Schizosaccharomyces pombe: one gene and its partner. Changing the gene in region 2 together with the main gene of any one other region gives a genetic interaction. Each region holds a gene or a part of one and is shown on either strand. Other genes may lie near its edges. The genes, in order: cip1 and ftm6.

What was found.
Region 1: mutations in ftm6 (region 2) and cip1 together harm fitness more than expected from each alone (negative genetic interaction), as found in Schizosaccharomyces pombe (one large-scale study listed by BioGRID).

What each region holds. Positions count from the first base shown.
Region 1 is NC_003423.3:4,261,292-4,266,208, forward strand, and holds cip1 (RNA-binding protein Cip1), read right to left. Parts: upstream 2,787-4,917; 5' UTR 2,655-2,786; coding exon 1,182-2,654; 3' UTR 527-1,181; downstream 1-526. Other genes in the region: NuA4 histone acetyltransferase complex subunit Eaf7, read right to left, coding at 1-28; SPOM_SPBC16A3.17C (transporter), read left to right, coding at 4,268-4,917. UniProt on the Schizosaccharomyces pombe protein: Regulates global gene expression after oxidative stress. Interacts and stabilizes mRNAs and may regulate their transition between different cytoplasmic components after oxidative stress.
Region 2 is NC_003423.3:8,765-12,018, reverse strand, and holds ftm6 (transmembrane helix domain-containing protein), read right to left. Parts: upstream 1,451-3,254; coding exon 1,010-1,450; 3' UTR 668-1,009; downstream 1-667. Other genes in the region: ftm5 (transmembrane helix domain-containing protein), read right to left, coding at 3,005-3,254.

The DNA of each region.
Region 1 (4,917 bases), 4.3 Mb from region 2:
TTGATGATCTTGTTCCCCTCGAACTCATAAATACAATTGCTATCCTCTAATACATAGGTTTATATGGGTAAAATAAGAAAATTTCTGTTTCTTAGTTTACTTTTTCTACTAATTTAACTTTATATTATCGGCAATATAGCAGATTATCAATATTTATGGTGTTGTGCGGTACTTCCAGCCATAACTCATGAAACTGGTTTTTATAATATTTTCTTTTTCTAGCTGCAGTAATTACAAGGTCAAGTGTATTTCATCTTTTTTCATAACCTTAACAAAAAATAAAAGTTCATCCAAAAAGAATCGTGCATCTTTGTGTTATCCTTTCTTCATTCTTAAATTCAATAGACATTCAAGTGCAGTAATTGAGTAAGGCTGCGATAACCCATAAAGTATTCTTATTTTAGTGAATCCTTTGTAACTTCCTTTAATTACAACTTACTAACAATGGAACTAAAAGTCCACCATGCTTGCAATTTCTTTTTCTTTTTTACATATAAATCAATTCGCATTATATAGGAAAATTTAACGATATTTTAGGTAATTTTAAAGTAGCTCATTTAAAGCCCTACAAGCTTGGTAGAAAATAGACTTTAAATCGTAGGTTTATTTCTATATCCATAGTACGGTAATACTAAGCTAGGAACATTCACATCCACATAAAGAAGATGATTAAATTTACAAAAATAAAAGTTCAATTTTGTAATATCAGACTAATGTATTTGTCCAAGGTTAAATTTAATCATGTAAAGTATGTGTATATTATACGGTAGGGCATAAATTTCTTATACAAGAAAAATCGTTATAATTTGTAAAAAAATAGGAGCATCGCTCATCCGTTGATTATCGTCATAAAACATTATGCCTCACCCAACATATATCCATCATTGATTGCTGTTAAGTCGAGTCGTCCAAATGTGTCGTGGGAATTCAAAACGATAAAATATAAGCTTCTAAGTATTTAAAAGGATTATTTGCTGGATAACCAACTATGTGAAAGGGAAAACAAAAAATCAACAAAATGAAGCCCATAGAGTTTAGATTCATCAGAAGTAAGTGATAAAGGGATAAAGAGCAAAATTTAGTCAAAACAAATAGCGTATAGTAAATGCATCTATAGTTGGCGTAAACAAAAATCATATCTTAAAAGGTACATAAACAGTTTCTTTATAATTGCATAGACTCTAAAAGTGGGAGACACCAAAACTCTGCTTGGAAGCGGAGGTAGAAGCATCATTATCATTTTTTGAATTGAAAGGTGAACTCAAAGTAGAAGCCTTTTGAAGCGGTGATTCATTTCCATAAATTTTGTCGTCAATCGAACGAAGTTGGTTTGTCAATGGTACTGCGAAACTGGGAGGTGGGGTTATAGGGGCACTCTTAGTACCATTCAATGAATGCTCTTGCAAAAATCGAGTAGCTAACGGTGCCGGCATATTAAATCTTAAATTTGGAGATGCAGGTTGCGACTGACTTACGCTCGTATTCTTTTTATTCGGATGAGTAACTACTAATTTTAACACCTCTCCATTCGGGCGAGCATAGTAATCGAGATCAAAGTACAGGCAAAAGATTCTAATGGCATTTAGAAGGTTTCCGTCCTTAGAAGTGGTTTCAAATGTTATTTCACGAGAAGGAATGCATTGATGAGCAAACAATAGAAGTCTACTATAAGTTTCAAGGGTACCAGTGTCATTCAAATTTAAGCCTTGATCAGTAAAGCTAACTTCAAACATCTTGTACTGCTGTTTACGACGTCTTTCTTCAGCTTGACGTTTCTTTGCTTTTTCCACCTTCTCGCGTTCTGCAGCTGGTAATTGGCGTTTCCATTCAACACGAAGACGTCTGCCATTAATTTCATAGCCATTAAGCGTTTGCACAACAACTTGAGCCTCTTCAGGACGATAAAAATTAGCAAAAGCCAATCCTCGAAATATTCCATTGTCATAGTGATAATTAAAGGCATAAGGTCTGGGAATACCTAGTTGCTTAAAATGATCCAACAATGTATCTTTCTCCAACGAGAAAGGAATATTTTTCACAACAATAGCCGTTGGAATGGTATCTTCACCGGGTTCAACCGGTGTTGAATTAGAATTGGCAGTCGATCCTGCTTTGATTTGGGTACTGTTAAAAGCATCCAACGAAGGCTCTGCGGATGTATCAGCTTTATTGCCTTTTCCACTGGCAGAAAAGCTTTTACTTTCTGAAGAAGATTCAGCACCACTAGGAGGAGAGACATTGTGGAAAGCCATAGCACTCGCCTCATTTGCTGAATTTGAGTTCCTGGACGAGAGGTACGGAGTTCCAATAGAATTGGCGCTGTTAAAAAGCGCGGAACCTTTAGAACTATTTTCTAGCCCACCAAGCTGAGAATAACCAAAAGTAGGAAAGCTATCAGAAGGAGCCGGCGATGCAGCACGACTACTAGCAAGAGAAAGGGCACCGGACCATTTGGGGTACAGCGGAGCACTCGAACCGGAACCGCTTGTTTTCCTAGAAGCCTGAGGAGAACCAATTGGCTGTAGCTTAGGAGAATTCAAGGGTGATTGTAATCTTGATAATGCTTCATGATTTGATTTTTTCGTCCCAGAATTACCTGCTAATCCTCGACTTTCATCCACACGAATTTTCCAGGGAAATATTTCATTAGGCATTCTAGATGCGGGGGAACGAGTCCAGATATATTCTGAGGAATAAAAGTTATATGTGAAAACAGAGAAAATTGACTAGGAAATTCCCGTAATTTGCCCCTTAGAATACTGCACTTGTAGATGCTAGTTCAGTCTAAGGATTAATTGAGCGTCTCTTTCAGCAGCATCACACGGTAGCACACCAAATTGTTTAACAAAATACAACGAAAAGCAGCAAACACTTTACTATACACAAAAAAAAATATACTTACTTGTTTGCGTAAATAGTAAGGCAGTTAATAATTAATAGGAATATAAATCTGAACATATTGAGTAGCAGTATGAACGTAAAAAGCCGATTGAAGCTGTTCTTAGCTTTTTTGCTATCTCTCATGATAAACGAGTAATCTAAATTAGCTGTGCCTTACCGAAAACGAGTATCTTGTCAGCTGTAGAAGAGTATAGATAAATAAAAGTAGACAGCTGGACTCTCCATTAGCCAAATTCGAGTAGACTTGAGCATTGCTTAACTTTTCTTCCTTTCTGCTATTTCTTTTTACTATACTGTTCCTGTTGACTTCAGACTTGCTATTTTGTTTTAAGGCGTATCATGGAAATGTACAATGCCAGGCATATTTGAATGCTTTTATTATCGATCCTTCATTCGCTAATAGACGAAATGTTATTTCAACCGACACCTATTAATTATCGAAGTAATCTTATTTACTATACGTTCGCTGAGTCGTTAAAATGTCAAGCAAGTGCCATGTTGTTGTACATTGACGGCTGCAGCGATCCTCCCTTTTATTCTATTTCATAAAAACCACTTATATTAAGCGTTAAGAACTATTTCCATCCAGCATTAATTACTATCGTTAGATGACTTTTAAAGGCTTCACCGTGCACACCCATTTCTTTTGAAATGTACTCAAGTATCACACTTCGAGGAAAAATTACTTTTTAAAACCTCCTTTTGCGTTTCTTATTACATTTTAGAAATCTTACCACTTCAAACTTGGTTCGTGTAATTGACACGTGGCTAAAAGCTGTTGTAGATACGCGGAATCTCCACGCAAATTTCTATTTGATATATTTCGCATGTTGTCGTTTAACCATATCTAGAATGACAACAAGGATGCACTCTTGAGAAGTGCGTTCAAGCTCCTCCTGCTTACTAAAGAAGTTCATTATAAGGGGGAGCGACGTACCGGAGAAAGCAAATACTGCAAAACAATTTGTCAGTGTGCATACAAATATATGTCACATCTCTCACTTTTCTCCTTATTTAAATTGTATTAGATCTCGATGGATTATGTTATTGTGCTAGTAGTCTGATTTTCGTGATAATCACTTAGACACATATTTGTATAAAAATTTACTGAATACCACTAGCAAGCCGCTTACCAAATTAATCACCATAAGACTCAACAATGAGAAATTTGACTATAAGGAATATATAAGCGTTTGGATAGGGTTTTTAGTGCTTTATTATTAGGATATTTCCTTGTTTACTTGTCTTTGTTTTTCTTTATTCTCCCCCTTAAAAATATTTGTAAAATTGTCTAAAAAACGTCCATCTCAACTAGCGGCCATTTGTTTAAAAAATTTTTATTATTCAAGAGCATAAATTATACGCAATGTCTAGTTCTTCATCTCACAACTCATTTTCCGGCTCTAAAACAAATGCTGCTGAAGGGCAAAATTCAATAGATGGACTATCCCTTAAAAAGACCACCAGTCCTTTTATATTGACAGCATATCCTTCCAATGAAGAAAAGGAAGTTAAAGAAACCGACATAGTTCCGGATGAAAACAAAGTGAATGAACTTGACGTGCATAAGCAATCCACTGAATTCTCTAAACAAGAATCTGCTTCTAATGATGATGATACCAATATACAATTAATCCCAGAAAATAATATGAAAATAGTGGTTCCTGCCTTAATTCTTACTTTGTTTCTTGCTGCATTAGATAATACAATTGTCACCACTGCTTTGCCGACTATAGCTGAAGACTTTAATGATACATCAAGTTCATCATGGATTGGATCTGCCTATGTCCTTGCTTCCAACGCAGTTCTTCCTGCTGTCGGTGTATTTTGCAATATCCTTGGAAGAAAAATAGTACTTTACATTTGCATTTTCTTTTTCATGCTGGGTAGTGCACTTTGTGGTGCATCACAAAACATGATATGGCTAATCGTTTGCCGTGCCATTCAAGGCCTTGGTGGAGGAGGTATTATTTCTCTCGTGAATATTATTATATCTGATATAACCCCATTGCGCAC
Region 2 (3,254 bases):
TTTATATCCTTCTTTCTCTGTCAGGAAATCTATTTCCGAGCTGACGATAAAAAAACATGTTGCAAGTCGCCGAAACTACCTCGGCTTTTATTACTATGTCCGAAAAGTGCGCGAAATATTGGAATGGCTTGTAAATTATGCATTTAATCAAATAAAGTGATAGTAAGCGCAAAGTGTATGACTCAATGAAAATCGGGTGTATCAACTACTCAGTTGTTTACCATACAATGTATTGTAAATTATGGGTAGTGTCGTCGCTATTACATTTAAAAAATATATTATATTGAAGGTATCTAATAAGAAGTAAATGTTTTTCTGTGTAATAATAGTGAATTCTTCTCATCAAAAATATAAACGAACTGATTTTTCGTCACCTTATTAGGTTATACAAAGTCATAACAATGCAAAACCAAAGCGGATAGCATATCAAACTAAGAATATGACTTGCTATTAAAAATTAGTTTCGCTTGAGTTTTATTTTAAGAGTAGTAATAGTCAGAATTTATTGTGCTGATACACTTCAACTTACTTGATTAATAATTGAAAAAGAGAAATTTACAATTGAAATTGAAATGGATGGATTTGAAACAAACCATTCGTCAACATCACCGCTACTTTAAAAATGCTACTGTACTTGCGAGTATAACTACACAAAAGTACATATTTAAGCGGTTGCATCAAGTAATGTCATATATAGAAATACAATAATATAAACGGAGCACAAACTGAACCTCGTTCTTGATATATCAAGTCTTCTTTATTGTACCATAATGTTGTATGTCGTTGTGCTATATTTTTTTGTAAGTTACAATCATACTGATTGGCATAGCTTCTGCTTTTAACTTAACGGTGATCAAGCCATATTTGATCAGGTTAGGCAGAATTCCAATGATTGCATTAGAAGGTTTAGATCTTCAAGTCAATTTTACGATTACAAGCAAAGGAGAAATAGCAATCAAGCCAGTATCGAATACTCATTACACGTATATAGCAAGATACTATGGAATTGTTATTGTGATATGAATCTTGATGGTGGATTATTATAGCCCTGGTGCAGATCACTAATATCGGTTTTCGAGTAAGAATGATTCTTGCTTTCTGACCTAGTGACTTTCTCAATAGAGAAAAGTATAATGACTTGAAATTTAGAAAACGTTCTAATGGAGTTAATGGAGTGAGTTCTAATGAAACGAGGAAAAAATTTGTTATGATATACTACGACGCATCCAAATGTAAAGGATCGGAATTTAGATGAAGCCGATGGTACTTCCGAGTAAATGTACCAACAATATAATAAATAAATCAGCAATTTTACTGCTAGACAATATTTCACTGTGAGGCTTAGTCTTGGTATAAATAGAGGGACTCTGTCAAAACAAATATTTTGAACTAGACTCGAATTCTTCATAATTCTATTCACTTGAGTGTTTATTTTTTTTAACAATGCCATTACATTTACGAGATATGTGGATATCCACTGACGATTATAAGGATGTTTTACTTACGTGTCCTGTGTGGTATGAAATTAGTGAAAGAGAATTAAATCATGCTGTTTGGGGACAATATTAAAATGGTGAAGTTATAATGAAACAGTTGTTGGAAGCGATTAGTTTCAAAAATTAGCGACTCGTATTTTGTTTATTATTATTATTATTTTTTCTTTTTTTTTTATTCGCTGTTTTAAAATTGTTTCCAGCAATCTTCTTCCTGTTCTCTTTTTATCCGTTTGACAACACATTTTGCTAATGCTTTTTTTTTTTTTTTAGTTCAAAGAAGACTGGTACGAGAAATAAACAAGTTGAGTAGTTTCGAAAGCAATTGGCTCTTTCTTTTTTTTTTTAAACTTGTCTTATTAATGTTAACATAACATTTTGTTTTTAGTCCGAGTATGTCGTCAGTTGAAAACCGTAACGGTTCTCATTGTGCCTGTTCTTCCGGTTTATACGAATAAGGTAAGAACATTCAAGAAAGCGTTTGATATGAAGTCTGTTCCATTATTGCTCTTAGTGCCTGACAAACGTTGTTAGTCTGTTTTGAGTTTACAAGTTTGTTAAGCTAATAGCCATTCATTGATCTTCATTGTTACATGCTTTCCATGGAATAGTTGGAGGTGTTTACTTTTCAACTTGTTAGCGATCGCTTGCTAACATTTTTAATAATAGGTACTTTGTTGTTCTCAGTGTGACTGGCACGAACCAGCAAATGTTTACTCGATTGAACAAAGGCGTAGTCATGATGATGATCTTCCTACCATTAAGGGTTCTGATGCTAGTACTCAACAGTATGAAAGAAAAACTTATATTACCGATGCTAGTCCCGAATCTCAGAATCTGTTTTTAAGCAAAAGTAAAGAGGAGGGAGTTATCTTCTTATGCATACAAGTAAGCTTTTAACCTTGATTCTATTTATTCACTTTTACCATTTACTACTTTCGCAAATTCCTGTTTTTTGTTGGGGATATGAAGGGGAATATAAGGGTAAAGTAGATGAAATGGATGTATTTGAAAGTTGATTTGGATTCGATTTATTACTTTGAATCCCCGTTTATTATTATACGTTTATGTCGTTTTAAAGAAAACCATGCGATGTACTATATTAATTTTGTAAAATATATATTATAGATAAAAAAATTGTTGGGAAAATGGGAAAGCAAGTTGAAAATAATTAAATTCAATAAATTAGCAAAATATGTTTATGAAGGTAACCAGTTTTTTCTTTTTATTTTTTTTTTGTCTATATGTCAGATTCGCAACTTTTAAGTTTGAACAAAACATTATTTCACATCGACTCAAAGGTTATGTGTATTTAAAACGTTCCAGTAAAAAAATATTCATTTGTAAAAAATAAATAGGTGGTATATTAAATAAGAATGAACTTACTACACAATTTCTGTGTAAAAAAGTGAGATTAAAATAACTGGATATTAATCCATTGATAAACAAATAATAAATAAAATAATCCCGGTAACCCCTTTAAAGGTGAATCAAGTAAACCATGGTTTTTGTCAAATCATTTTCTCTTGAGCCTCTTCAGCTACATTTCGATTGTAGGCAAGTGCTTCATTATGGGTGGGAAACATTATGTAACATGGAAAAGCAATTTTCTCCATAAAAGTGAAAAGATCACCAATGATCACCGACAGTCTGTAATCAAAGTTTCCAAATATAATATTCGACAGGTAATGCAACATTGGAGATGCACAGAATATAAAGATAAATGCATTTAGCATTCTTCTAAAAAATCTGGCTTTTGAA